Linked DNA regions of Daphnia pulex. The protein of the gene in region 2 interacts with the protein of the main gene of each other region in a biochemical or structural test. Links are inferred from orthologs where the notes say so. Each region holds a gene or a part of one and is shown on either strand. Other genes may lie near its edges.

Region 1 (9,987 bases), about 1.9 Mb from region 2:
CTTGGTCCACATCTTTCATAGAAAGAGAGATCTTTTGGCCAGCAATGCTCATAACTTTGACATGAACCTTATCTCCACGATTGACAACTTCAGCCACACTATTCACACGGCCTTCTCGTCGCAACTGGGAGATGTGCACTAGACCCTCACATTTTTTCCGTATTCCTTCAATTTGTACAAAACAACCAAAAGCTGCAAGATTCATGATTTTTCCCGCGTAGACATTTCCCACTTCTGGATTCTCTGGAAAATCTTTTTGAGGTTTCTTTCGACTTGGGGATTCTCGTCTGCCTTCGTTACTTCTTTTATCATGATGACGATCACTTGTTCTGTTTCGATCTCCTCTATCTGTACTCCTGGACCTGTGACTTCTGTCCCTGCTTCTTGATCTCCTCTTTTGATCTCTGCTTCTTGACCTTCTACTTCGGTCTCTGCTTCTGGATCTCTTGCTGCGGTCTCTGCTTCTTGATCTTCTGCTGCGGTCCTTGCTTCTTGAACGTCTGCTTCTTTCCTTCTTGTCTTTACTCCTTGCTCTTTCCTGAACAGGCTCGATTGCTTCAGTAGAAATCTTTTCTTCTTTAGGAGCCATGGCTTCTAGTTCAGCCATTAAATCGTTAGCTTCTTCAACATCTTTAATAGTCAATTTTATGTCTTCGAGAAGCATTGTTCTTGCCTTAGGGTTATCTGCTAAGGCAAGACCAGGGAAGAGTTCCCGTTTCTTCTCTGTTTCTGCATTGTAAACTGTTTTCTTTACCTGGGCTAAGTTCACATCAGTTGTTTTCGAGTTGGCTGATTTCATGTGTTTGATAAGACGAAGCAAATTTGCAATGAGAGAGTCTGAAAACTCGGCGCCATTCTCCAGCATTACACTTTTGAACTCATCAAAGGTCTTGTGTTTTTCGGCCAATGCGATGATGAACTCTGCCAGATCTTTATCGTTGAGTCCCAAATGGTTTTCCAATTCTGTGCACACCTTAGAAACAAGCGACAGGTGTTCGAGTTTCTCTAATTCATCCATGATGATATAGGATATTTTGCCACTTATTAAATCATTTACAAATTGACAGCACAACAATTGGGATGGCGACGAATGTGGAAATTGACGAGCCGACGAAAAAACGAATGCTTTCGTTGTTAAGACAACGTTGCAAGAATGCTGTAAAAGAAAAATCAAAATTAATAGATGAACTGGCAACATTGCGCGCAAAAAATATTTACATTTTTTCGAAATGAATTTGTTAACTTTTGCGTTTCACAGATTGAAATGAAGAATTATCTAATCTTTCTCGGTTCTCTGCATTTTGTGTTTGAATTTGAATGAAACTTTTCCATGTTCATATTGAATTGGTATTCTAGACATACAGGTTCATTTTGCAAAATTCATATAAGAATGTAAACAACGCCGATGCTGCTACTAGTAAAAGACATTACTCATTAGTCAACAAGAGTTAAGTTTTTTTTAAATGAAAGTCTATTTGTCTAATGTCTATGATGATAAGATTTCACGAAAATGGGCAACTTAGTGAATTAAAGATTATAAACTAAGTTGCATCCATGAAAATGGTCAGCCAATTTAAAATTTATGTACAACACATTGTCAAAAGTAAAATTAAAAATATGACTTAAGCTACAGCTCTTCGAAAAAGGCCACGCGCGCTCCAGTCGATCCAGATTTTGACTAGGAAAAAAAGAAAAATTAACTCAAATTTGAATTAATGACTCTCATTCATGCGTACCTTTTTGAGAGTTGAGTATTTGTCGTCCCCTGAACGGAGTTGCTCTTCGTGTAGCTGATCGTAAAGCGTTTGTTTTTCACCTACTTTCAAGACTTCAATCTCTGTACGCAATTCTCTCAGTTGCTCCTGCAGTTGCTTCGATTTTTCCAAGTATTCGACTCTAAATTTATTTTAAAAAATGAGCAAACAATTACGCAACAATTCCTACGATAGATTTACAACCTCTCTTTCTCAATTTCAAGTGAGAGTTGCTCCATATCGCCATGTGTCATAAGGTCATAGTTGGATGAAGAGTTGACCAGTTCGGAAGCAGCAATAGCTGATAGATATCCACTACTACTTAAGCCAGTTAAGTTGGTGAGGCCAGTAAGCTGATTAGCCAGCGGAATAGGAAGGCGGGCCTCATAAGCCGGCAAACTTGCTTCGTTAGAGACATCGTCGAGTCGTCGTAAATGTTGCTGAATGTCCGACTGATGATGTAAATGGTGGTCTGATCCAGCTACCGACGAACTTGATGTCGGAAACAAGTTGGGAACAGACTGAAAAATGGTAATTGTAGTTATTCGCTCATTAAAATGTTGACAGAAACTGCAAAGTACCAGGACAGACGCGGACGACGGGATGCGTGTAATTGGACGAGATGCCGAGTGTAAGGCTGCAACACTAGCTTGTGTTGTTAAAAACTCTAGTAGCTTCTTTTTGGCTTGAGTTTCAGCGTAACGGGCCTGCAAAAGGTCACCTTTTAGCTGCTCTGCTTCTGCTGCACAACGCTCAGAATTCTCTAATAACCTTGAGGCAATTTGCTTCGCCTCATGTAATTGTCTCTGAGACAAAAGTTTTTCCTCTTCGGTCTAGACGCAAAAAGACAATTAAATGTAAAGCTACCTAAATAAGTTATGAAAAAATTCACTTACTTTCATGGCAGATAAACGAATTCTTTGCAACTCTTGTTCAGCGTCTGAGGCTTTTTGAGTTAACAACATTGACTCTTCTTCTGCAACTCGCGCCTTTTCGGCCAGCAGCTCAGCCGACTCTTCGGAACGCCTCTACAAAATTGGTATAATGAAATACTGTACTTGATACTAAAACTAAAAATTAAACTGAAGAATATCATACCAACTGTTCGTTCGCTACACGGAATTCTTCCTGAAAGTGAATTAACTGTTGTTCTAGGGCTGCTTTTTCACGTTCAGCTGTTTCGCGTAGTTGCTTCTCTCGTGCAAGCTTATTTCTTTCACTCTGTCGTCTGAAAAACGGTAAAGTAACCACAATAAGAACTCAACAATGAATAAGACAAAACTTGTCAAGGTCAAATTTACCTGAGTTTCTCTTCTTTAGCCTGAGCCTTCATTTGCTGAACTTCAATTGAATCCGGTTTCCTCCGACGCATAAAGAGATCATGATTTCCAATACACAAATCTAAGATCTAGACATAAAAATGCGGAAATAAAATTCGCTATCCTTTTTCATTTATGTAAAAATCATGGATTACCAATTTGTTGACTCGATGCTTATCCGAATAGAAAATAAAAGGGGGTGCAGTTTTGTCGACTGGTTTAATGGCAAACTTTTTGTCGTCATAGCTGATGTTTTGGATCTCTGACCAGGGAAAGTTAATGCGCGGTACGGATTTGTTATCCTGCTCGTAAATATTCAGACCGAGGGCCGTAACACCAAGCCACAACTCGGAATCCCTTTTATTCTGTTCAAATAGAATAATAAGTTGTAGATTAAAACAAGTTAACAATATGCAAGATATACACGCATTTTAGTTTTAGCTAGGGTTTCTAAACTCACTTTTATAGGAAAATAGTTAACGCCATACATTTCTAAATCCTGTACGATTCTCAAGTACTCCATTTCAGCCTCATCACGACTGAGACCTTTATGATCCGCGTACCTATATAACATAAAGTAAAGTCTTAAGTCTATAAAACGGTTAAAATGGAAATGATGATCCTTATTACCAAATTTTTATTCTTTCTTCCCACATTTCAGCTGTCATTTGATACTGATCAAGAACTCTCTTAGGCAGTAAGTCTTCTGTACCAAGGAGACCAGGTTTCATGGCTGCCTCATCATAATCACCATACTAATGGGAAGGAAAAATTAATTGTGGAAAATCACCCAAGATATAATAATATTACCTTGGCTTGCAAAGCATATGAAGCAAGCAAGACTGATATTTCAGGAGGACAGTATATATCCATGTTGAGTATACTCTGCTTTACTTGCAAGAAAAACAAATGTTGAGTTATTTCTTGAACCAGCTCTTCAGCCACATTCTCGGGATAAAACTTAGCCAAAAATACAAAAGGCACAGGAGTTGTTTTGGGCACATCTTGGTCCTGAACTATAGATATTATGGCCATACAAACAGTTATTAGGTGAATGACACATAATAAGCATTAACACTCACCTTTTCTATCCATTTTCAACCACGCCAGAAATCCTTTGCAGTCTTCATACTGTAACCCAAAATACCAGGTCTCCCTTAATCCAATAGTTCGACACACTAGATCAAATAAATCTCTTCCATTTGCTTTGCACTACAAGAGTTATAATTGTCAGTTTTTTACATGAACATGATTATGTGAATAAATAATACAAACCTCTAGGTTGAATTCAAGTTGTGCGTCTAGGGTAAGAATTTTTACTGGAAAACATTTTGACGATTTGTGCTTCCGGCGGAAATTCATTTTAGCACACCGAGACCTAAACTTAATCAAACAAATCTAATGCAAAAACTTATAAAACTTAGAAAACGTCTTCATTTTGATTCATTCCATTTGTAGAATCAACACAGAATTAACAAATACTGTTCTTTCAGCTGATACAAAACAACGGAAAATGAACAAAAACAGGCTTGATTGCAGACGATGGGATTTTCCATCTATTGACTATTGCCACAGTGCACAGCCATCTGGACCCTGGCGGGACAACATGAAACTACTGGCGGGAAATCGTTTTTTTTTCTTCAGTTTTATAAAAAGAAACATTTCATGTCTGGTCGTCACAAAATTACAGCGTAAATGTCATGCTTTAGAAAATAGTTGAATACATGTATAGTAGGAGTATGACGAATTTCAAAATTGTATTATTGTTCACTGCATTTTCATTCAAATAAAAATAATACATTACGTGCACTGTTGACTTCAACCACTAACATCTGATAACATCAATATTTTAAATTTTGTTTAGTAAATGCAATAAAGTTAAACACAGCAGCCACGTGTGAGAATTCATTAGGGAAAAAAAAACAAGAGCCAACATACCCTTTTTTGTTTATGTTACACACTCCAGAGAAAAGACTAGGTATTTTGTTAAGGGAATTATAAACATCCATAAAATTGAAGGGATCAAAAAAATCTGAGTAAATTTACCCGTGTCCAAAATGCATCGAATCGATAGGATTTAAATTTTCCAACCACCGCACTTCCAGGTGCATATCTGAGACAACAAGCAGTAGCTAAGCTAGTAAATTTCAAGGGGAATGAATGTGTTAAAGAATAAGTATCTTGAAAAAATGATGTACAAACGGCGAAACCAAACATATTGACTAGCATGAGCTGCCATTGCTCTCTAAACGTGAACACATAATTAATTTATTTAGCAAAAGTCTTAATTGACATTATTAACTGTTTAAAAAAATACCTGAATGTTCATCCTATTAACCCAATCGGCAGTACAGATTAATGCACTAGGTTTGATTAAAATCGAATCAATAAATCCCAAATATTTTCGAAACAAACTGACCGTTTCCAAAATGAAAACTCGGACAGTAACTGTTGGAAAAATTAAAGACGATCTTTTAAATATCAATACATTTAATTATGCACACTATAATATAGTTTAAATACCTCTTTTTTTGCTTTCTTTCTTTAATTGCAACACCCCCTGATAAATCGATTTATGATTTAGGTGGCCACTGATTCCATTCTCATCAAAAGTTATGAGCTATAAAAAATTGCATTAAATTGTATTGTTAGTTAAGCCTATTAATCTATTCCTGAAATACTTACACTGTCAATTTTCAATTTTTCAATGTAGATATTCAAAGTATCTGCAACTGATTTGAAATCCCACAAAGAATGTGGATCATCTTCAAAGAAAGGAGGTCCACTGTTCACAGATAATGTAGAAATTTAAGAAAATTTAAGAAATTTCAACAATTTATGAATGTTTGAATGAATTTTTACCTGTGAATTATAATATTGGAATCAGCTAGTCCAAGAATCTTGCAACTTTTTTTTAGTTCCTCTCTCCTTGTTTTACCTAAGCCATCAGCATTGCCTTGAAATAGTGAATTTCACACATTAGAAATATTGTTATAACGTTTGAATTTAAGCACAAGTAACGAACAGACAAGTATATGAGTCCAAAGAAAAAGCTATAGTTCATGTAAGCGTATAGTAATAGTGATATGTAGTATTGATTTACCATCACTCAAGCAAAGAATGTAAATATCCTTTGCTTTCTTTTTCCTGGACGAAGAATCACTTAATGATGGTTGGACTAGTGCTGTGATGGCAGGTCCAAAAAACATGCATCTATTATACATGCATTCATAAGTGCATAAGAGAAAAAAAGTTAGATTAAGGTATTCCATAAAAATGTATATCTCAATTAACAAAACATACTCGTCGTCCGGATGAGCAATGACGAACAAGACATTGCTAAGCTTTTTAAAGAAAACTTCTTTAAGAAACAAACTTTTCTTTTGACTCAAATATCGGTAAGTGAAAAAGGAAACGAAAGTCCAAATTCCTAGTATAAGTAGTAAGTACCAACACATTTTAAAAATAAATATAAGTAGATAAGCCGAAATTGCTCTTCGAAATTCAAAAATACACAATCCTACAGCAGACGACAGCATTCGTTTTACAGCTGCTACCTGCTAGCTGTTTAGCGACTTTAGCCTAATGTGAAAATAAAGAAAATGAAAATTTGAAAACTTATTTCAACAACAAAATAGACCATGCTAATCCGCACAAAGTTTCTTTTAATTATCCTAGTAGCACAAATAAATAATTATCCTAGTAGCACCAAAAAATTATGAGCTTATCTTGCAACTCAATTTCACGTTTTACTTCTGCTAATTTACATCAAGATAATATGCCGGCCGGTATACTTAATGAAGAGCTACTGGCCGTGATGTAAGCCTGTAAGCTTATTTAACTTGAAAGATAGTTGCCACAATCAACAAATTCTCTTCTAATTAACGAAGCAGAAGCAACGTTGCAGATGAAATTTCTCAAACAAACAGCTAACGATTATTTACAGACTACTAATGTAGCTACGTTTTAAATCACGTATTATGACAAGGTACAGTGGTACAGTATATTCCGTGTGTTGTCATGGTTATAGACTTATAGGCTCGCACTTTGTTGTCGTTATGGACTATGCGCCACATCCTTTGATAATCAAAATGTTTACTAAAGCAGGTGAAAGATGAAACAGAACGAGTAGTCGTGGGCGCTTCTTGACTATAAAGATCAGAAATGTGCAGCAGGAGTCTGAGTATGTTATGGAAAAGCAGCGCCACTTCATGCTAAACATTGTATTTACATTCAAGGAAAACTGCGAGCAAACTTCTTAATGACTGCATTAGCTAATCGTGTATTTACACAAGAGTAATTCGCCTTCCTAAGTAGTCCTAACAGTATCAAAGCATCTAGTTAGGATCAAAACAGTCATGTGCTGTAAAAGATTAAAAAAGCTACCCTGACAACTCGTTGCTGTCGCTAGGCAACAGCACAGTATAGAAATAGTAGGCATATACAATTTTTCTTATCCTTTTTTCCCTGATGCAATAACTCGAGTGATTGCTGATCCAGTCGGATCCAGCGGTGATGTAAAAAGTACAACCCAACTTCTTCTTTGTCTCTGTATACTTTAGTAATTGGATATTGTCATCGCCTTAATCTTTTACATCTTTTAAATTGTTATATCAAAAGGTGAAACAAGCTAAAACTGGTTAAGTAATACTTTGAACTTCATTTTCAAAATACGTGAGCTATAACCTAAAAACAATACAAATATGGCGATGTGTATAATGCCATCGGAGAATTAAAAACGGATAAACGCTAGAGCCTTGCGAGTTTGAGTTCACGAGGGACTGCTGTAGACATACAAAGTTATTGATTAAGTTATCACATGAAAACAAGAGAATGCTATGACGCTATGTCAATAAGGTGTCAAAAAGGCTAATAGCTAAAGTAAACTATTGTTTGTTCCAGACAGTTTGGAGAGCTTAAAATGTAAACATTTTATTTGTTCGTTTTTTTTTTGCCTCCTTGACGTCACTATATTATATCTAACAGTCTACTCTATAAGCCTCAACGTTACAAAGGTAATATACTTGACTTTTTTGAATGATGCATGAGGGGCGTGTTACGTCCAACTCCTATGGGATGCACTTTTGCTGTTTAGAAATTTTGTTAAATATGAAAAGAAGGTCAAGACATTTCAACTGTTCAGTACCGTGCAATAAAAACATCACTGGCTGTAATACGTTGCTGCAGCATTGTCTAACTCAGTATGGGGATGGGTAAGAAGAAAAAAGGAAAATTGGTGGCGCAGGTAGAAGTGGTGGAATGAAAAATATTCGTTTTCTCACCTGCCCCCCTACCAATTAATGAAAACTTAGGGAAGAATGGGCGTAATGCTACAAAAAGAACAAGAAACTTTTTGTCGAACGACGAAGGTCATTAGATCCGAATAAATCAATGGGCGACTTTCTTTTCGTCACCATCACTCTTGTCAAGCTATAACAACCTATTCATAATCCGGGAATGAATTTCACAATTATGATCAAATTTCAAATTCGGTGGAATTACATAAGAGCCCACTCAGGTTTAGAACCTGTATTATTCATACATGAGCGATCCTTACGGATCCTTACACGGGTCATTATATATTCCCAGTCATACAAGGGGTACTGCCCACGTGAACGTCATTGGCAGGTCGTTGGTAATTCCACTTTCTCGCCATATCTCAAACGTGTAACATAAAGAAGGTGTCAATAATTACACTTTTGTAAACACTGTGTTGTACTTTGTTGATTCTACTATGATGGGCTTTACAACACCGATAAAACTGTCGAGTCCATAAACTTGCGTGTCCCCTGCTAATCGAACGCAGTCAAATGTCATGATTGCCAGTCATATCTCAAGACATGAACGAGATTTTATTTTTGATAATACTCTACTACGCACACGTTAGTACGTTATATAAAAGGACTTCTCGAACTTTCTTCAGTGCAACATTTTCAAAATGATGAAACTACTTCTTGCGTTAACTACCTTGGTGGCTGCTGCCCACTGCTGTAAGTAGACATTTTCAGCAAAACATAAAATTCAATGTTGGGGATTGTGTTGCCTGTGGGCTATAATTTATAACGAAAAGTAGTATGGCCTCATAGTATTCACAGACTTTTGCTTAATTACAAGTTACAAACGGCAGCCAGGAAAAAAAAGTTTTTGCGTTCACTTTTCCCAATTATCAATTGACGTATTTATTATATAGTTTCAGTAAACCCGGCTTCCGGCTTCACTGGAGATAACAACGAGCCATGCTACAGCACCGCATCTAGTGGAAAAGACGGAGGCATTTGCCTCCAAACGGTACGATCAATAGGAAGCCATTACTATTATATTTAATGAGAGTCTATCCAGATTGGATGAAAGAATTAAAGAGTTCATAATTTGTTATAATAAATGTGTTCTATTCAGGACTGCTGTGCTGGTGCGACCTACATTTCTAACTTGTGTCCTGATTACCAGGCCAACGTGAAATGCTGCTACTCTTATAATTCGTGCAACACAAATGGTAAAATGCACCTTTATTCATTTAAAGAGATTAACATTGAAAATAATGCAACTATTTGCTTTAGCCGTTTCTTGTCCGGCTGCTCAGGCTGTAGCTTGCGAAGTTTTGGGAATGCACGAGAAAGGCCAGATTTACTTGAAAGGTGAGCACTTTGATGCTTCGGGCAACAATCCTTATGATGGAGCCAGCGCCTTATCCAACATCCGTGATACGTGCTACGGCAAACATGCCAAGCTATCCGCGTAAGTTAAAAAAAAAACCCATAAATATTGAGAAATGATTTTCAAAGTTCCTTTTTCGTTGACCAAAGCTACGGTAATGCTCCCGGAGGAAATGTTTGTCTGACAGCAAAGATGGTGACCAGCTTGCGTGATTATGCTCGCAACTATTACAACTCAAACGGTGTACCCATCGAGGTATA
Region 2 (10,002 bases):
GTCTTCTTTCTGTTGAATACGTAGTCTCGCTTCGTTTTGAAGGCGTTGTATGGTCATTTCGACATCAATCTGGGACTCTGTTTTTGGCACCAATCTTTCCTCCAATTCTTGTTTTTTTCGCAAACATTCTTCATCATCATTTCGTCGGGAAGACTCTTTGAAGTCTTCCATTTTTTTCATGAAGCTAGATGCCACAGACTGAAAGTTAAAATACATAAATAATTAGTACACACATTTATCATTAAAAGATGAAGTATTGAATGCTTGCACTAAAGCTTCTAAAGTAAAGCAACATATATAGAGAAGTTTAAGCTTACTGAACGTTGTGCCTCCTTCAATTCAAACAGCTGCATGATCATGTGATTACTCAGGTTATAGACTGGTGTAGTTTCATCCAACTGGTTGGTATTACGCATCAATAAAAGTTCCTGTTGCCATTTAAACTGGTTTATTCTTTTTTCAGTATGTTGTACTGGAAAGTCCATGAAAAAGCTTGATCTATTATTTAAGCTCAGAGATGAATGGTGTAAAGTTGGCTGGTGTGGAAATTGCTGACTGTCAATAGATTTTTCTGGAAAATCCACAGGATTCCGACTAAATACATCCTCAGACAGGAGAACGCCGGATTTACTGTTTGATGTCGATTGATTGATGGGTAGCAAAGGAACACGATCGTAAACTATTCGTCCCTTCGGTGTCCTACTTAACGATGCGACAGTTTCTCTCAAAGGAGATTCAGCCATTCCATGTTCGTTATTGTCATTCATTTCTGAACAAGAGTCACACACAAATATCGACTTTAAAAATTGTAAAAAGCTTCGTATGCCCGTTCGCATTTGAAAAAATTACTCTGACAGGACCCTACAAGAATTCCTCCTATTTGAAATGAAAGTTGTCGTCTGCAAAAGAAGGCGGTGCACCGTTGCCTTATACAGCATGAAATAGTCGTTGAAATAGTGAGAAAAAATACTTATTTGGTTATTGATTTGCCTATTTTTATGAATATTGTAATATAATTAAAAAGAAAAAGAAAGCTGAACCTGGGTGAACGCAAACCCAAGTCGCCAACGAGCCAGCCTAGTTTTAAATGGTTTGGCAACAGAGCAGCACAGCGACAGATTCTTTTTTTTTTCAATAAACAAGCGAGCGAAACAAGTAATTTGTCAATTGTCATTCAAGCTTTAGCGTTTACACTTTACACGCTATTTCTTATTTTTTTTTAAACGGTAGAAGATAATGACGTTTCAACCTCCTGCAACTCGTCAAGGTATTTCAATTATAAAGCAAAATATTTTGACAGCAATAACCTAATGAGCTCTTTCGTCTACCAAGATCAAAGCCGTAAAGTCCTAGAAGAAGTTCAACTGCAAAAGAAAATATTGTTGAAACAAGGTATTTTTAAAAATTCATAATAAAAAACTAGTAGTAACCTTTTTTTTCTTTAAATTTAGGTGCAGCTGTCACTCTGAATCCTGCTCCAGTTTCAACTGCTATACCTGTAAGTAACTATATTAGTGCAAAGATTTTGTTTTCACATTTTGATTTTAAAATTGTGTTCACAGAGTACATCTGATTCACTGAACCCAGCAATACGCCATGCATTAACTCAAGCCCAAACTTCTTCGTTTGGATATTTTGTGGCACAAGATTCATCTTTTGGAAACTTTATCTTGCCAGTGATTCCCAGACTTGAACCATCAAAATAAATAGAATGGCAAAATTAATGAAAAGAAAAGAGTTGGAGCAGCATCTTCAAGAACTAGATGGATTTTCAAAGCCAAAAATCCTTCTTGAGCAATATGAAACAAGTATTATTTTAGTAACAAGTATTATTATTAATATTATTTACTTTACTTAGTTTTATATTTAAAGGAGCTCACATTGCTGCTTGCATGCTGCACACCATTGAAAGTGCCTATGGAGATCTGTATCAGAAAACTGTGCTTGATTTGGGGTGTGGGTGCAGTGTTTTAGGAATTGGATCAGTGTTATTGGGAGCCTCGTATGTTTTAGGAGTGGATATTGATGAAGAAGCATTGCAAATTTCAACATCTAACATAAGTCAATTCGAACTAAGTGAAATCAATTTACTTCAAGCAGATGTGAAGCTTTTACCTCAAATGTTGGAAGGGACCAAAAAATTTGACACAGTCATTATGAATCCCCCTTTTGGAACCAAGCATAACAAGGGATTAGATTCATTATTTTTAGAGATTGGACTTCAATGCCTCAACGAAAAAGGCGTATTGTATTCTCTACACAAGTCTTCGACACGAGACTATTTTCATCGAAAAGCCCCTGGCTGGAAAGTGGACGCCCGTGTTTTGGCCGAGCTCCGTTACGATTTACCAGCAACATATAAATTTCACAACAAATCATCAGTAGACATAGAAGTGGATTTTTGGAGGTTTGAAAAGAAAAATTAATTTGTATTTCAATCAATCGAGAGAAGAAAATAAAATAAAAGATTGGCAATCACATGCGATTTTTTATCTTCTTCAACATGTTGTTCTGTTCGAGGGCCGCTTTTCTCTTTCGCTATAAGAGGGAAAATATTTAGGTTTCAATTATTGTTTTGCTGAGTTGATTTTTTTTTAAAGCGTACCATAGGTGTAGCAGCAGAGCCAACAACGTCAATAACTTCAGACAAGGCCTTGGGCCGGGCTGATACGTCTTCTGCTGGGATTGCTGGATCATTATTGGAAAGCAATGAGGCTGGGATCTCTAGTGTTTTTCCAGGAGCTAAAGCTTCATATTGATGTCGTAAAGCTTGTAATTCGTATTCACAAGTTGAGAGACCTAGTTTCAGTTCGTACAAAAGGACTAAATCGCTCCGAAGCTCGTTAAAGTTCTGGCAAATCTCTTCGGTTGGCATTGGATTTAATTCTAAATCAATGCATAAAATATTAATATGCAAATTTTAATATGAAATGTGTGTCGTACCCAAGCCCAGTTCTGTTAGCATTTGTTCTATAGCTTTGGATTTTTTCTGGCCCACACTAGGCGGCAACTTCATCCGCTGTGAGCGTAAAAATACACCACTGGCTTTAAACTCCGGAAACTTAATTCCGCTATTAGGTGTCTCCACGGAGGGCTGCTCATTAAATTTCATGAAAAATTTCATCATTTAATGAGTTAAACAAAGAAAAACTATTATAAAAAAATAAATAAATAAATAAAGCTTGGTTACCAGGAGCTCAAGTTTTGCTTTAGGTGTAGCAAATGGGGTATTTTTCTTTCGAATTTGTTGTTTTTTGTCGGGAGGTGTGCCTCGATGGGTTGCAGGGGAATGGTCTGCCGCAGCAGCAGTAGCTGAACCTCCGCTGTCCGCAGCTGTTATCAATTTCTGGAGATCTTGTGTTTTTCGTTCTCGATCTTTCTTGCGGGCTTCGATTTTCCTCAATTCTTGGAGTAGATTAGCTTCTTCCTCGACTTGTTCTGACGTACGTTCGAATAGCCTCTTTAACTGCTCTTTACGACGTTTTTCATTGTCGGCATCGTAAGCAATATTCTTTGGCTCTGGTCCTGTTGTATGCCTTGCCTTAAAAAAAAATATACAGTTATTTTTTTACTAGGTAACACAGACACAAATATCCTTTACCTTGTTTAATATGTTGCAGATATCATAATATCTCTCCTTCAAGTCTTCGATTGACCTTTTTGAGAATCGTGTACTATCCCAGCGGTCCTGAATAACGGTGAAACGAAGATCAAATTGCCGACAGAGGTCAAACAAATGATCTGTTTCTTGCTTTGTCCAATTATCAAGTTGTAGTAATTGATATTCTTGATCAGTGTAAGAAAATATATGGACTTGCTAAAAAAAAATATTTTTATATAAAAGAAATTTTCAAATCAATTAAAAAAGATGGAAATCAACCTTGTTAAATTTAGCAAATGGATACTCTTTCCCTTCATCTGCAGCTCTACGCCAATGGTGAAATACAGCTCCATCTTTCCGTGCTGGGTTAGTAAAGGGCATCCACTTCCAAGGTCTCACTTTACGGACACCTAAATGAGCTTTTGCTTGCTTGTATCCTTTACCTGATTGGAAATATTTATGAAATCTTTGGCATACAAATATTTCTTTCCCTTACTGGAAGCACACAAATTGCAGACAGACAAAGTTGTTACCTGTGTCAGTTGGAAATAGAGGAGCTGCATCTTTACTATCATTGACCAAAAGATTGAAAAGTTCTCGTGCCATTCCCTCAGGTTTACGTAAAACTTCATTTTTAGGTTTGTATTTAGGTTTCGGTTTTTGCGTTCCCATAATACTTTCTTTCGTCACTTCTGGAGTTCCCGGTCTCCCTAGCTCCAAGATATCCAAAACATCAGCCATTTTTACTTTATTCCTCTTATGCCCGACGTTTTGATCCGACACGTGTCAACACTTACGACAAGAATGTGAGTAACTTTCAAAGTTCAAACCACAAAATATTTGAAGAAAATGTCACATAACAATCGTAAAAAAAAAACGTCCACAAAGATTCACAAAAAGGACGACAAAAGCAGACACAGTTTTTTAAGCACGCTAGGTAACCATAAGAAAAGCTATTGTTGTCAAGTTTATTGAAAAATCCAATTGTGAGAAATATCATTCAATTTGTAATATGAAAATTTGCTAGAAATTTTAAAAATATTTTAGCTATAATTTTATCATTTAAATCTGTATTCTGGAGGTCTAACTTCCTCAAACAAGCAAACAATGGAATTCGCAAGAATTTTCCAAAATATTAATCTGACAACGTTTTTTTCTCAAGTCTGCACATAGAAATTACACAGAACGTGGTGCACACTTCTGCAGCAATTTCAAAGAAACTTAATTTTAATAAGGGAAGTTGTAGTTTCAGATAGACGTAACAGTTCGAAGGTGAGTTTTTGTTGTTTATAATGCAATAGTTTTTTTTTAACTTATGGTGAAGATTTGTGACCCATTGAAGTTATTCTACTCGTGTTGTGAAATTGTGATTGGGTTCCAAAAACGTCCTTTTGTGTTTCATTTTGGCGTCGATAAGTTTCAGCTAATTTGTTCTTATTTACATTTAAGTCATCCAGTATGGCGAACGACACCGTAAATCTGACTGAAATGTCAGATGTCAGTGCTATTTTGAGGTTATTTGAGGAACATCATGTAGCACCAACATTTGATCCTGTTCCCTATCTTTCTAGGTATGTGTTATTTGTTTTTTTGCAAGATTTTTTTTTTCTTAATCATGTTAATTTTTGTTTTCAAGACTGGCTGAACTTTTGGAAACAGAAACAGAAAATTACCTAAAAATGGATCCAGATCCTTTTGATGATCGTAACCCTTCTAGGAATCCAAATTGCAGCTTTGGACACATGCTTAAAATAATATTCAAGAAGGAAATTTTTATGCAAAAAGTATTATTTTCATTTACTTGGCCTTGATCTTCATTCTAAATATAAATGCTATTTTTTCATTTTTCTTAATATTAGTTAGTTGGAGACTATTTACGTGACACTTACTGGACCAGATTAGGCATTTCTACCAGAGATTCAAGGGAACTCAATACAGCTGCAGCTCGTCTTGTTCTAGATTTAATGCCAGGCTTAGAAGTATCTGTGGTGTTTCAAGACACAGAAGGATTGATCAACAGACTTTTTAGTTGGGCAGAAAAAGGTCCAGAACCACTTCAAAGCTACGCTACTGGTTTGCTAGCTGCTGCGATGGAACTACAAGACTTGGCTGCTAACTTTCGTGAGTTAAACGCTCATCTAGCACCGTTAATGTTGAAAAGGTTATGGGAAATCCAAAAGAGATGTGCCGAAGAAAAGAAAAATGACGAACTCGGAAAAATCAAAAGATTTTCAAAATTTTCAAGCGACCAACCGAGTACCTCGAGCAAAACCCCAAAGAATACGGCGAGTAGTAAGAGTCGAGCATCTTCCAGTTCAAAGGTCCCAAAGGATGAAGATGCTGAATTAATGCCTGGACCAGAACCGGCCGATGGAGCCTCCGATAAAGGAAAATTGCCAAAGAATAACAAAGCAAAGAAATTTCAAGGCAGGATTAAAGGTTCCAAAGAGAGAAAAAGTGGAAATGCATCTCTGAATGGATCAGCTATGAATGATTCTAGCAACTCGTCTTGGGCCGAAATGGAATCATACGTCATCGGTAAAAGATTATTCTCCATGCAACAAGTGTGTCTGTAAAGTTAAAAAACTAACACTTCTTACTTTATTTATAGGAACGTATCAAATGCATCCATTGACGGACTCAACTCGGCAAATCTTAATCTTGCGATATTTAACACCCATGGGTGAATATCAAGAGTTACTAGTTCACATGTTCGAGCAAAAGGCGCTCGACCTTATTCTTAACTACATCGACTTTGACGAGACCCAAGATTCGCGTTTATCGTTCGAAGCACTTAAATATCTCGGAGCACTGCTTTGTCACAAAAAATTTGCCATCGAGTTTATTCATCATCAGGGATTGCATCGCTTACTTGAAATTCCACGGCCGAGCATTGCTGCAACTGGAGTTGCCATGTGTCTTTATTACATTGCGTATTGCGAAGATGCCATGGAGCGAGTCTGTCTCTTACCAGATCACGTCATTCAAGAGCTAGTCCGATATGCTCTTTGGCTACTGGAGTGTTCGCACGAATCTGGACGTTGTCACGCTACCATGTTCTTTGGGACATCGTTTCAGTTCCGCATTATTTTGGAACAGTTTGACGCCCAGGATGGTCTTCGCCGGTTGTACAATATGATCAGCACTTTGTCAATACTTTCAATGGAAGATGCAAGTGATTTGTTGGATGATGACGAATCTCATGCTGCACGCCAAACCGTTCGACACGTCTGTGCGGCGCTAAAACGATACTTTGAAATTCATCTGGCTGGGAAAGTTGAACATCTTCAACGGATCAGAGTTCGTGAAATGGGTGGTTCTCCCCATCCGTCAACACCTCCCTACAAAGCAATCAAGCTTAATGCAGATCAAATTATCGATCTAATCACCACTGCTCAAGAACTGCTTCCGTTTCGGGCAAGTTGGTCACCCGTCAATGAATTTGTTAGCCTCGGGGGTATCCCTCTGCTTCTACAAGTTATTGCAATATCCTACCTATGGAATTTTACCGGACGTGCCGAGACTGTTCGCAGCGCTTTGGTAAAGAAATTAAATATATTCTTAAAGTTAAATTATTAAATATATTTTATTTTATTTTGCAGGATGTTTTAGCCGTTTGTTCTGTTTCTTTCAGAGTTCAGATGCTATTTTGTGATCGTATTCAAATTCCGGATGACGCCAATGCTGTAGGCATTAATATTCTACTTGGAGCAGCTGAAGGAGACATTGTAGCTGACCCCGAAGTTCAGCGTGCCGCTCTTTGCGTACTCATTCACTGCGTTTGTGCTCCCGTCCATCGAGTTGGAGGTTCTGTCGGTAGATTTAATGGCAGTGCCAAAAGACGCAGCGTGGTAATTTCAATGATATTTTCTTATTGTAGAATTTATGTATTTACGCATTGTGCTTTGTATAGGCTAGTCGAACGAGCGAAGAGGTTCTCAACCAAGTTTGGGAGTGTGTACGATCCCACAATGGAATCATGGTGTTAATGGACCTTCTATCTGTTAAAACACCCATTACGGATGCTGACTCGATTCGCGCTTTAGCCTGTAAGGCCTTGTTAGGTCTTGCACGCAGCGAAAATGCTCGCCAAATCATGGGTAAACTACCCTTGTTCACCAGCGGTCAATTGCAGGTAAATCATAAAAAATAATTTCTTATTTTGTAAATTAATATCAACCCAAATTCTGTCTCAGGTTCTCATGAGAGAACCAGTGTTGCAAGATAAACGTCAAGAGCACGTCAAGTTCCAGAAATTTGGATTGGAATTGTTGGAACAAGTCTCCGGTCGAATCAAGTCCAATGTCAACGAATTTGAGTTATCCTTAGCCAAGATACACAAAGCAGATGTGGTATGAAAAATAATTATAATAAAGAAAAGTTTCCGTTTTTCAAGTATTTGAAATGTCGTGCTCCATCAGGTTGCACAGACGCGTATCCAGTTTAACGAAAAGCAGTTACTGCAGTTGATCCACCAGCATCTGTTAAGCAAGAACATGGTTGAATCTGCTTCAATATTAATGAAAGAAGCTGGACTCCCTCCACTTCCTCTAAAGCAAGCCAGCTCTAACTTCCCGCCTTATCGAGCTACCGGAAATACTCCCTCTACTCCAAGCAGGACCGGACGTGTTAACTCACAAGGAGCTGTAGCACTTCCTAGTACTCCAGTTGCAGTCCCCTCGACATCTACGCCGACGCAACAAATGGGAATAATTAAAGTGAATTTGTCTAGCAGGTGAAAAGAGCTATAAAAATGAAATATCTATTTTTTTTGTTTACTTATTTCACTTTTTTGCGTATAGTAGGCGTTTGAGACCAGGAATGCCTTCACCTGGCCCTCAACCGGGTGTTAATTCTCAGCACAGGGCTTTGCAAAAAGTCACTAACTGGGATTCGCCAACCACTATGAACAAATCACTCGGAGCTGCTAACGTCAGTACTGGTGAAACATCTCGTGGCGTGTCGTTAGACGCAATTGTCACTGAGTACTTGATGAATCAGCATGCTCTGTGTAAGACACCGATGGTGACTTGTCCACAGTTTGACCTTTTCCAACCCCACAAATGTCCAGATGCTAAATCAAAGAACACGGCTCCAGCAAACTTCGCATTAAGAGTTCAAAAGCGAGCCATCCATCCTCGGTTTGGTGGTCTCGATGGAGCCAGAATGGACCGCAAATTGGTTTACTCTCGCTTCCGACCTGTTAGAACGTTTCGCAATGACTCTGAAACGTTTACTTGCTGCGCTTTTTCACCGTGTGAGCAATTTCTTATGATCGGGAACCAAACGGGCGAGTTGAAGCTATACAATGTCAACACAGCTGTAGAAGAAGCAACATACCAATGCCATGAAAACTATCTTTTCAACATTGAACCAAACTGGACTGGTGACCTTTTACTAACGTCAGGAATGTACCGACCCCCTTATTCATGCCTGTGGGCTGTCGGTGACTTTTTCGACATGAAGTACTCCTTTGAGGAGGAAGAATACGTCGAATTTAGTAAGACAGTTCAAGATAAAATTGTTGGGACTAAAGGCGAAACTGCCACTGTATATGATGTGGCCACTGGTAAGAAATTGTTAAGCCTTACTCCCACAACGTCCAACAACTATTCAAAGAACCGTGCCACCTTTCATCCTAGCGATGAGTTGATTCTTTCTGACGGTGTTTTATGGGACGCCGTATCAGGTAACTATTCTATTTTATATGCGTATCGAGCTGTTGTTCAATCCTATTTTTCCATAATCTAGGGACACAAATTCACAAGTTTGATAAGCTTAATCAGTCGCTTAGTGGAACTTTTCATCCCAACGGATTGGAAATCATCTCAAGTTCAGAAGTTTGGGACATCAGAACATATCATTTACTACGAACCGTTCCAACCCTTGATCAGTGTCAAGTCACATTTTCAGCTTCCGGTGACGTCATTTACGCAGTTCATTTGGAAGAAGAGAGTAGAGAAGAACCGATGTACGATTCCTCTTTCAAGACACTAGACGCCGGCGATTACTCCTCTATTGCTACGATTGACGTCAAACGGTGTATCTATGGACTGTGTTCCAACAAATATGACACACAAATAGCCGTTGTGGAGAACTCGAGAGAGTTTAACACTCCAAGCGAATCGATCGTCCGGCTGTACGACGTGGGCAGGCTACGTGATGATGAAGACGTCGGATCAGAAGTGGAGGAAGAGGAAGGAGATGACGATGGAGGTGCATCTGAAAATTCGGACGACGATTTAGAAATGCTTGATGAACTGGTTAACGGCGGAGGTGATGAAGATGGTATCGACGTGGATATTGATTCTAGCGATTCATCGGACGACGGACAATTTGGTGATTCAGACGATGATGACGACGACGATGATGATGACTCCAATTCATATTTTGGTTCCTCA
Region 3 (9,566 bases), on a different chromosome or scaffold from region 2:
CCTTGTTTATAGGCAAAATTTTTACATAGGAAAAAGTGTAAAAAATCACCTTGGCATCTTCATTTACACGATGATTAACTTTTTCCCTCTTCCAACACACTGAATTAGACACTGAAGACACAACAATAGAGTGCTTCATTTCAGATTCTTGGAGTTGAGTTAAAATGCTGCCACTGTTGGAGATTGAATCCAGTAGGCGTGAATCAATAAGTGCTGTAAGACTCTATAATGAAAACATAAAAAATATCAATACACAATCTAATCACATACTGTAAAATGTGTCTACAAACTTTAAGGCATTCTGATGATCTATTGAACTTTTTATTTGCTGCTTCTGCTGCTTTACAAGCTTTATCATATGCTTTGTCAAAGGCCTTGTCCTCCTTTGTTTTAGTTGTTTTTTTTGCAGGCTGATTATAATTGCTTACAGATTCAGTTATGGGACAATTAACTTTTGGTATATTGGCATTTTGGGTTTCAGAAGAAACAAGCCTTGTTGTGTAAGTCTCATAACCTAATCTTTCTGCTAAACTTGTTCTTACTTCAGTTTCCAGAATTCTGAATTTGATTGAAATGAAAGTTACTCTTGCTTACATTACTACTTACAACAGGAAAAAGGTTACTCACTCAAAATCAAAGTCTTCATCTTTATTTTCATTGTTACGTGGTGGGGAATCCAAATCTAGATTCATCAACCTGGAAATGTTGTAGCAACATTACAGTTAATTTGGAAGAACTAACCTCAATAACTTATGTACTTACTCGTCATCAGAATTTAGGGCTTCGTGTAAAACATTCCTCTTACCCGGAGAAATTCCACAGAAGTGAACATCATCATCTGAGTCTGTTAATACGACAATTTCACTTGCCATTTTACGTTGTTACTTTAAGAGTTTCATCAACCAGATTCGAACTATCCACCTGTTTGTTCGAATGACAATGCACTGTCTTAAAACTATTTCAACCAAGCACATCTGACCTCTGAGAACAAACAACTCAATTCAAACAAACATAAACAGAAACTGAAATCAACCAATAAACCGTCGATTTAAATCGCCACCTAGTGTTAAATGACAATACTGTATGTTAACGTCGAATCGGGAAAAATGTATTTTGTTTTTCGTCATTGCATTTTTTTATTCTACATCCATTTCTCTATCTGAATCATGAACTTCTTCAACAACTCGCGATTCCATCTTCTTGAATTTGGAGGATACCAATGACATATCTTTTTCTCCATCCAACTGTGTTGCTAACTGCTTCAATCCAGCTGCTGGGGACCGGATTAGACCCATGTTCTTGGTGACTTCATAATTATCGCTTCTTCTCTGGACTTCCTTTGATTTACTGTGTCTGTTGTTGATGTGCAATGCTTGACGTCTGCAGCGAATGATCTCAACCTTCTTCATGGCTTCCACAGATTTCTGCCACAAGTCCCGATCATACTTTACAGGAACATTTCTCCTCTTCTCAAATTCGAAAGACGGGTCGATGGCCAGATCTTTGCCTGCAGATTTACGGAAAGCCTTAGTCCATTTGGTCTTACGAGGATTCTTCTTCTTCTTGAATGCATTCTTGCATTTTGACCTGCAGAATCTGAAAATCTAGAACGCAAACATGAGTTAGAAAGTTTCACGGTGTAATTTATTTAAACCTTCTCACCTTGCAGTCATTTCGAACAAAAACCATTCCATGGCCAGGCCATATATTTGACGAACAAAAGTAACATTTTTCGATACGCATTTTGACGGAAGAGCAACCACACACAACGTGGTTTTTCTCTACCTCTATTTAGTGAAGAAGGACCGACTAAGTACTACGGATCAGTCAAGAACCTACTTCTAGCCACGTTTTTGCGGGCGTAGATTGTCAATTGTTTTGTCCTCTGGTTTCGCCGCCATTCCGCCAATCACAATTTTGATAAGACATGGAATTTCAAAAATCTAGATGGAGTAAAAACGTTAAATTTCAACATCACACAATTAAAAGCGCAGGACATTTTAATGTGGTTCCACGACGCATCTCTGAACAGAGCTATAGGCCTATAGCCCTTTAAATTCTTTGGATATTTACGACCTCGTTTATTTACACCGCATACACATCTTATCGTTATCTCAAGCCTTACCTTATTATCTAGCTACGAACTTTCAACGTTAACAAAAGCAAATGTCATTTCCATTTCGTTTGCTGTGTCGAGCTTGACCGTTCTGTATGATGGTCACACCTTAACAAGTGTAGAAATATTCAAGAATTATTATGGATCTTCTACTGGTAACATCTTGTAACAACACTAAAGAGTAAAAATGTGTTAGTTATTTAATATTGCAAATCAAGTCATTTAAATATTACTTTTAGGCTTAGATAAATTCCGGCATGAAACATCACGCAGAAGAGCGATTCAATTTCCTACACCAAAAAATTACGATTCTGTACAAACTGCTACTCGGATAACGTTTAGCCGTTAGATATGGCCAGAATTATGCTTAAACCATTACTTCGATGCATCTTCCGTAAAATAATGAGGATGGGGTTCTTACGGCGTCTCCTACTTACTTTTACGGTAGTGGGGATATTCATCTGCACAGGATATTTTGTAATGCAATCAGATTTTTACGTCAGATCGGTTAGTGTCGGCTTACCAAAAAGTTTAAAATCACCTTTAAAAAATTGGGAACAGTAAAAACATTTCGTTTTTAGATGAACCATCCGGTGATATATGTCTCGGGAGCTGATCGTGGTAGATGTTGCGTAAGCATCCATAACTCCTTTGATATTTGCGGCAGACCGGATTGCTTATGGAAATGTCCCTTGTTCGAACCTCAATTTCCACTTCCTCGACGTGATCAAGAGAAGGCATTTTTTCATGAAACCTCAGGTGTTCGGGCACTTGACTTCCGCCAAGCCTGTTCTGTTGAATCTCTCGCAATAATGAACCCACACTTGACCGTCATTTTGCTAATGAGCGGGAAAGATATTGATTGGAATTCTACAACTATGAAAACGTTGGGAAATTACGAAAACATAAAAATCTATAATATTAATTTAGGTGATTACTTCATACATTCGCCTTTTCGACAATGGTATTTCTGCTCTACTTGGAATTACGGTTCATTTGCCGTGTCTCATCTGAGCGACGCACTCCGGTTCCTAACACTGTACAATTACGGAGGTTATTACTTTGATTTGGATATAATAATGGTTCAACCAGTGACACATTACCGAAACTTCATCGTGGCGGAAAACGAGAAAAATTTGGCTGCTGGAGCACTTCACGTTGATTACCTACATCCTGTTATCCGCATGGCAGTGGAGGAGTTCCGAGAAACATACAGGTGTGTACACGAAAATTTCCCAAACTAGATGACTTAACTGTTTTCTTTACTTCAGAAAGGATATTTGGGGTCACAATGGCCCATTGCTCCTGACTCGCGTAATGACAAAATGGTGTTTGACAGAAAACATTGCCGAAATGAATTCTGATAGCTGCTACGGTTTTGAGATTCTTCCTCCAAAAACATTTTATCCAATCGAATGGCCTAAATGGTTGAGATATTTTTTGGAACAAGATATTACGTGGGATAATGACACAATTGGAATTCACGTATGGAACCAAAAGAGCGCTGGCCAAGCAGTTTCAAAAACTTCCGAACAAGTATACACCAAACTTGCTCGTTCCCAATGTCCTTCGATTTTTGCGATGGCTCCTAATGTGTTTTAATAGTTCGTATTTCTACAGCGGTAGAACCGTCTCTCAACATTTGGTTTCCTAATTCTTATTTTCAAGGTTCATTCTTCAAAGAATACAAGTTTTTCTTAAATACATAAATGCATTGCGCTGCGACTAAAAAATGCCAGCAAAACTTTCTAGTATCAGCATATCCATAATTGTTGTTGGCAATAGAAAATTACTGAAGATCCATCAGCAATTAACAAATTGTTTTTTTTTTAAATGTAAAATTAGTATTGCTCTTGGTTTAAGATGCATTGTGAATCGCGTTTTGAAACATGAATATCATGGTTGAAAACATTTGAGGCAAGAGTGAATGTAAAAACTGTTATAACCTGAGGTTTGACTGTTCACTCAATGGGGAGTTTAGACCAGTCAACTGGTGTTTTGTTTTGCTTGAGCAAAAGTTCATTACATTTTGAAAAATGTTTACATCCTAAGAATCCGCGATGAGCAGATAGTGGAGAAGGATGAGGGGCATTCAGCAAGTGGTGTTTTTTCTACAAAAAAAGAAAAGAAAAAAAAACATTAATTAAGCATGAAGTCGTAAACAAATGAATTGGTTACCTTGTCTACTACTAAAGCTTTCTTCTGGGCATATGCACCCCAAAGAAGGAAGACAACACCTTGGCAGTTACTGCTAATCCACTGGATCACGGCATCCGTCAGAGTTTCCCAGCCTTTGTCTTTGTGCGAATTTGCTGCGCCCGATCGGACCGTTAAGCCAGCGTTAAGAAGGAGCACACCTAAATATGTGAAATATCAATATAACAATTTTACGTGACTCTTATTTGAAGATTAAGACAAACGTTAAACTGTGATTGATTTTGTTTAAATGTCTACCTTGTTTGGCCCATCCAGTGAGATTACCATGTTTAGGAATATTAAAACCATCAATATCTGAAGCCAGCTCTTTAAAGATGTTTACCAAACTTCAAATAGTTTTGCAAAAATTAGACACAGTAGTTTTTAAAGTAAAAATTTTAAATATTACCTTGGGGGAGGAGGAACTCCTTTCAAAACACTGAAACACAAACCTTTTTATGAAACAAAAATGTAATGTCAATTCTTTATCTTAAAAGCCATAAAAGTAATTATTTTTTACTATACCATGAGCTTGACCAGGACCGTGATATGGATCTTGACCAATAATAACAACTTTGATATTTTGAATATCACAGAAATGGGTCCAAGACCACACAAGATGTTCTGGAGGGAAAATGGTGGACTTTGATCTTTCAGAACCCAGAAATTTACTAAGCTAAAAACAAAATAATGTAGGTAAATGAAAATAATTGTTATTCAAAGTTAAAAAAAAAGAAACATGTACATACTTCACCAAAGTAGGGTTTCTTAAACTCTGGCTCAATTGCTTGAAACCATGAATGACCAATACTATGGTGTAAGGCACAAGTATTCTTCGCTTGCAATTTTATTTTCGCTAACAAGTGGTTAGTGCCCATTCTTTCTTTTTTTTCAGGAGTAACTACTTCAGTCTTCTCACCAGATTTTTCTCCAACAGGCTAAAAATGAATAGACTTTACAAAAAATACCAGGCATGTATACACAGAACAAAAAAACCTACTTTGTTTTCAATTTGAACATTCTTGGCTTCAGCTGTCTTATTGCCAGACACAAGTTCTGAGAATGTACGCTTCACACCTCCACTTTGAAGAGGTTTAAAAAAATGAGTCAAAGGTTTTTGAGGCGGCATGATTTCTGACTTCAAGAAGCAACTTTAGTTCATTGTAATCATGATTGTAATTAAACACCAAAGTCAAAATAATCGGGCGCGAAATTCACCTTTGGACCAATCTGAAATGAATACATTAAGGCCACCTACAGCAGAAGAATTTGACAAGATTGAGTGAGAAAAAATTCCCTGGTCAACGGAAGGGGCGCTGCCGCTGCCGCTGCCTGAAGAAGAGATTGTCAGCCTGGCCTGGTTATGTAGGAAACATCCGCATTCATTTGTTTTTTTTTTTTTTAGTAAGAGACTAAGAGGAGTAGTGAACACTGAACAGCTGTACTCAGCCCTGACTCAGCTTGTGTCAAAACAGAAGATACCAACAAATCTAAAGAATGTTAAAACCAAAAGCTCTTACTCAAGTCTTGTCTCAAGCAAACACTGGCGGAATCTTAAGCACTTTGTAATATGGCGTGATACCTTAAAATAGTTAACGATTGTTAGTTATTTTTATTTATTTATTATCTTAATTTGTTATGCAGGCTTTTAAATACGGAGGGGGCGTTGCTAGCTTACAGGTGAGCAAAATGTGTTAAAATGTTTTACATTTGTTTATAGTGTTTAAACAATTTTGTGGCTTTCAAGTGGTTATGGGGACAAGGATGCACGAGTGACAGCAGCGATAGCTAGCAACATTTGGTCAGCATATGCTAAAAATGGGAAAGTTGCCTTCAATGAAGATGTCCTGGAATGTGTTCTTCTTGATTGCATGGTATTATTCAATTTAAAGTTTAGTAAACACAAATATTAATTTTGCCAATGCCTTTAAAGGATGGGAAAGTGGTGATTGCCCAAGTTGCTAATTTACTTCTATGTCTCTATGCTAAAGAAAATGTGTGTTTTGGAATGCTTCATGCTAAAGCAAAGGCATTGGCAGACTATCTTGATTCTCCTCTTCGTCAAGTAGCAGCATCATGAACATTTTTTTATAATACAAATTTGGATCTCCTAAAATTTAATGAAGCTGTGAAGCAGAGTTGTATTGCACTTGTGAATAAAAAGCAACACTTGTGAACAAGAAGTGTCAAAATGGCTGCAACGTGGATAAAATCCCACAAGGCTGGTTCTCTGCATAAATTTAGTTCAGTATTTGGTTCCTGGTACAAAAATCCCATAGCTTATTACATTCTTAACCCTTTCTGCTGAAGCACCTAAATAAAGAAACAACATTTTTAAATGCTTCCATCAATAGTAAATTGCAGATACTTACTTTGGCTCTATCAGTAGGCTCTGTTTCTCTTTCTCTCTTGTCACACTCTCTTGATACAACACACAGGAATTCTGAATGGTCTTCATTCCCATAAGAGTACTGTGACCCAACATTTATTAGCTATATAAAAAAAAGATTAGAATAAATAGTCTGTAGTAACTAATAAGATTGTCTTGTGTGTACACACCTGCTCAAATTTCCATCCATCAGACATAGTTGAAACCATTTGAGTTAATTCATCCTCATGACACTGTAATACACGGTAAACTTGCTTCCTACTTTCCTTCTGTGGTACCTCATCTCTTAGTCTTATTTTATCTCTAATTAACTGGATGAGTTCAGTAATATTATAGAATTCAGCTTCCTCTAGGATTCCTTCTTCAGCCAAGTTTTTATCAATAACTAGTTTGCTATGTCTCAAGAAGTTTAATATTGGTGAAAAATAAGTAGGGTCCCGATCAATCATGAAGGCACCTGTTTCATCCTAGTTTAAAATAAAGAGCATAATTTTCAAGTTAAAATTGAGGTTATATAAAGTAATACTTTATCTGAGGCAAGATTGTTGTCTTCTTGACAGAGTCTGAAGAAAAAAGACTTTGGATCTCTGCAAAGGGTTGTTCGGGTGGTAAGGAAGTGGTGACCCCCCACATTCAAACGTATCCATTCAGACTTTCTGCTGCCAACCCACTTTTCTGAAACGATGTTATTTGCAATCCCGTTCATCTCCGGACATTCAGCCATCTCTAAAATACATTTTAAAAAATCAATTAGTCGCGTTCAAACAACTTTTTTCAAACAATAAAGAACCGTTGTTATCGACTGCTAACCAGCATATGGATTGTGACTAAAAGTCATCAACAATTCTATTCTTACACTCTCAGTCACGATTTGCACAAAAGAATCACCTACCAGTATAGGACTAAAATAGCGAGTTTCACAGATTCAAATCGTTCATTAACATTTGGTTTCACTAAATAAAAATTCGACGCACAAAAATGCGAAAATATACAACTTTGAATCGATAAAGATAATCGATTATCGAAGCAGCCGTGGTGCCATCTAGAGGAGTCTCCTTCAATTGGGTTGAAATGAATGAATGAATAATTTTCTTTTTTTAATTTTTTTAATTGAATTTGAAACAAAACATTTAAACAAAATTTAAAGATAATACATTTTAAAAATAGAATAGCAAAATATTCGATTTGAAGCTTAGGTTTCAAAATGATTAGTAAAGTCCATGAAATACAACATTGGTACTGGCACTTCACGCCTCTCATAGTCAAAATCCCATGTAACAAGGCATCCAATCTGATAATCATCGACAAAAACTTTTAGCTTTTCCACCGACGTGTCCCGAATACCATCAACGCTTGCTTCGTGCCAAGATTGAGTCGATACGCTAAACGTAAAAGTTGGCTTCAATGTTTCTTTTTGAGAATTGATTAACGACTCAAGATCCCAAACGTTCACCCCTAACAGGAAAAAGTCGGAAGACCAACAATTCACGTGGCAACTAATTATGTATTTTTCGCCTACCAGCCTGTAAAAAAAAAATGATAATTTTAGTGTTGATTCGTTAGAAAGAAACAACAAAACATTACCCAATGGTTTTGATATCTCCATCGGTTTGATTCATTTGGCATTGTCGAATGCATGTTCCAAGTTCGATGTCCCATAAACTAAAGGAAAAGAGAGTAAGAGAGTAGCGTATGAATAACAGGTAGCAATTACGCTTTTGCGCGAATCTTACCTGATTTGTTCACGGCCAGCAATAATAATCCACCGATCGTAGGGTTGAAAACTTTTAATAAAAGCTTCGGATTCGGCGATGGTATTAATCAGTTCAAGCGAACTTGCTGATCGAACTTGAATCCCTTTATTATTGCCACCTTGTAGGTAAATATAGGAGTCATCCATTTGAACTCGGCGCACATTAAACTGGTGAATAGTCTGTTGGTGCGTTATTTTCCACTCTCGGGGCGATATTATCTTCCGCAACGAGAGGGTTTCGTACTGACAACTGTTCTATAAGTGTAAATTGAAATACATTAATGATTCACTCACAACAGTAAATTAGAATTATGTTAAGTTACGTTGGTAATACACGACAACAGCGTTTTTCCTGATGGACTAAACCGCAAGTAACTGCAATCCACCCTGCTTGCCATGACGTCCTGAGCGAAGCTTTCACAGTTTAATAAGGCTGGATCGTCTATAAGTTTGTGAAGCTTCCGCATTCACCACTGTTCTTATTATTGTGGAAATGATCAAAATTAAAAGTCCTCTTACCAATTCTTTTGTTTTCATACAAAATACGAAGATTTTTCCACGATTGCATCCAAGAGCAAGATATTCGCTAGTCAAATCGATAGATTTCATCATAGCTCTGTGACTATCGACTCCAATATCGAAAATCTAATATTCAATCAATATTCAGCTCTAAATGTATGGAATTTACAAATGAAGTTTCAGTTATTACACTTTCCGACTGCAAAGTCCATCTATTAAAGATCTCGATCGTCTGGGGACTTTGACGTGTTACGATGTACTGGTCGCTCAGTTTTACTTTGAAATTTAGATGCTCTACAAATCCTGCATAAGGCAATTTTTTTACCCGTTGATAGGCCGTCTTTGTTATCCAGTTTTTCTCCAGAGACTAATTGAATTAAAAATTGGTGTTAAAATTGATACTTATTTACGGGTTATCCAATGTCCAAACCTTCAAATTATCCCGGATATTTCGATAGAGATCAAGGTAAAATTCTGAATAGTTGTCATCCTCTGTCGTCTCGGTTGCGAAACCTTTCTTAATCAAGACTTTGTACATTTTCTTCCAATTTACCTAGTGAAACCTTAATTAGAATTGAAGGAAAACCTATATG

The links.
Region 1: the proteins of DDB1- and CUL4-associated factor 1-like (region 2) and merlin-like form a complex in vitro, tested with the Homo sapiens proteins (3 studies listed by BioGRID, with this or other methods). The link is inferred for Daphnia pulex from reciprocal best matches to the Homo sapiens genes DCAF1 and NF2.
Region 3: of the proteins of DDB1- and CUL4-associated factor 1-like (region 2) and uracil-DNA glycosylase-like, one has a biochemical effect on the other in vitro, tested with the Homo sapiens proteins (2 studies listed by BioGRID, with this or other methods). The link is inferred for Daphnia pulex from reciprocal best matches to the Homo sapiens genes DCAF1 and UNG.

Annotation. Positions count from the first base shown.
Region 1 is NC_060022.1:2,537,917-2,547,903, forward strand, and holds merlin-like, read right to left. Parts: upstream 4,656-9,987; 5' UTR 4,436-4,655; coding exon 4,349-4,435; intron 4,286-4,348; coding exon 4,156-4,285; intron 4,090-4,155; coding exon 3,884-4,089; intron 3,829-3,883; coding exon 3,704-3,828; intron 3,637-3,703; coding exon 3,534-3,636; intron 3,439-3,533; coding exon 3,229-3,438; intron 3,163-3,228; coding exon 3,056-3,162; intron 2,983-3,055; coding exon 2,853-2,982; intron 2,783-2,852; coding exon 2,651-2,782; intron 2,588-2,650; coding exon 2,336-2,587; intron 2,276-2,335; coding exon 1,959-2,275; intron 1,897-1,958; coding exon 1,737-1,896; intron 1,679-1,736; coding exon 1,628-1,678; 3' UTR 1,318-1,627; downstream 1-1,317. Other genes in the region: ATP-dependent RNA helicase DHX8-like, read right to left, coding at 1-1,018; N-acetylglucosaminyl-phosphatidylinositol de-N-acetylase-like, read right to left, coding at 5,211-5,318, 5,391-5,521, 5,597-5,693, 5,759-5,858, 5,936-6,029, 6,177-6,286, 6,377-6,612; uncharacterized protein LOC124195655, read left to right, coding at 9,012-9,063, 9,264-9,361, 9,470-9,566, 9,631-9,808, 9,877-9,982. UniProt on the Homo sapiens protein: Probable regulator of the Hippo/SWH (Sav/Wts/Hpo) signaling pathway, a signaling pathway that plays a pivotal role in tumor suppression by restricting proliferation and promoting apoptosis.
Region 2 is NC_060022.1:4,443,802-4,453,803, forward strand, and holds the start of DDB1- and CUL4-associated factor 1-like, read left to right. Parts: upstream 1-4,744; 5' UTR 4,745-4,873; intron 4,874-5,050; 5' UTR 5,051-5,059; coding exon 5,060-5,172; intron 5,173-5,237; coding exon 5,238-5,385; intron 5,386-5,460; coding exon 5,461-6,139; intron 6,140-6,212; coding exon 6,213-7,141; intron 7,142-7,203; coding exon 7,204-7,452; intron 7,453-7,514; coding exon 7,515-7,736; intron 7,737-7,797; coding exon 7,798-7,953; intron 7,954-8,022; coding exon 8,023-8,336; intron 8,337-8,403; coding exon 8,404-9,290; intron 9,291-9,352; coding exon 9,353-10,002. Other genes in the region: mRNA export factor GLE1-like, read right to left, coding at 1-198, 318-797, 861-861, 2,480-2,538, 2,606-2,886, 2,944-3,094, 3,191-3,541, 3,602-3,817 and 2 more; rRNA N6-adenosine-methyltransferase METTL5-like, read left to right, coding at 1,712-1,808, 1,873-2,426. UniProt on the Homo sapiens protein: Acts both as a substrate recognition component of E3 ubiquitin-protein ligase complexes and as an atypical serine/threonine-protein kinase, playing key roles in various processes such as cell cycle, telomerase regulation and histone modification.
Region 3 is NC_060023.1:11,046,093-11,055,658, forward strand, and holds uracil-DNA glycosylase-like, read right to left. Parts: upstream 5,615-9,566; 5' UTR 5,442-5,614; coding exon 5,313-5,441; intron 5,251-5,312; coding exon 5,062-5,250; intron 4,989-5,061; coding exon 4,838-4,988; intron 4,765-4,837; coding exon 4,722-4,764; intron 4,660-4,721; coding exon 4,571-4,659; intron 4,474-4,570; coding exon 4,295-4,473; intron 4,228-4,294; coding exon 4,078-4,227; 3' UTR 3,758-4,077; downstream 1-3,757. Other genes in the region: crossover junction endonuclease EME1-like, read right to left, coding at 50-223, 291-558, 628-696, 763-872; probable ribosome biogenesis protein RLP24, read right to left, coding at 1,137-1,604, 1,663-1,743; lactosylceramide 4-alpha-galactosyltransferase-like, read left to right, coding at 2,468-2,623, 2,698-3,332, 3,388-3,718; ragulator complex protein LAMTOR2-like, read left to right, coding at 5,810-5,877, 5,957-5,992, 6,060-6,186, 6,246-6,392; BTB/POZ domain-containing protein KCTD5-like, read right to left, coding at 6,596-6,625, 6,685-6,804, 6,872-7,168, 7,228-7,425; beta-TrCP-like, read right to left, coding at 7,894-8,224, 8,286-8,363, 8,435-8,709, 8,778-8,912, 8,974-9,099, 9,164-9,340, 9,404-9,511. UniProt on the Homo sapiens protein: Uracil-DNA glycosylase that hydrolyzes the N-glycosidic bond between uracil and deoxyribose in single- and double-stranded DNA (ssDNA and dsDNA) to release a free uracil residue and form an abasic (apurinic/apyrimidinic; AP) site.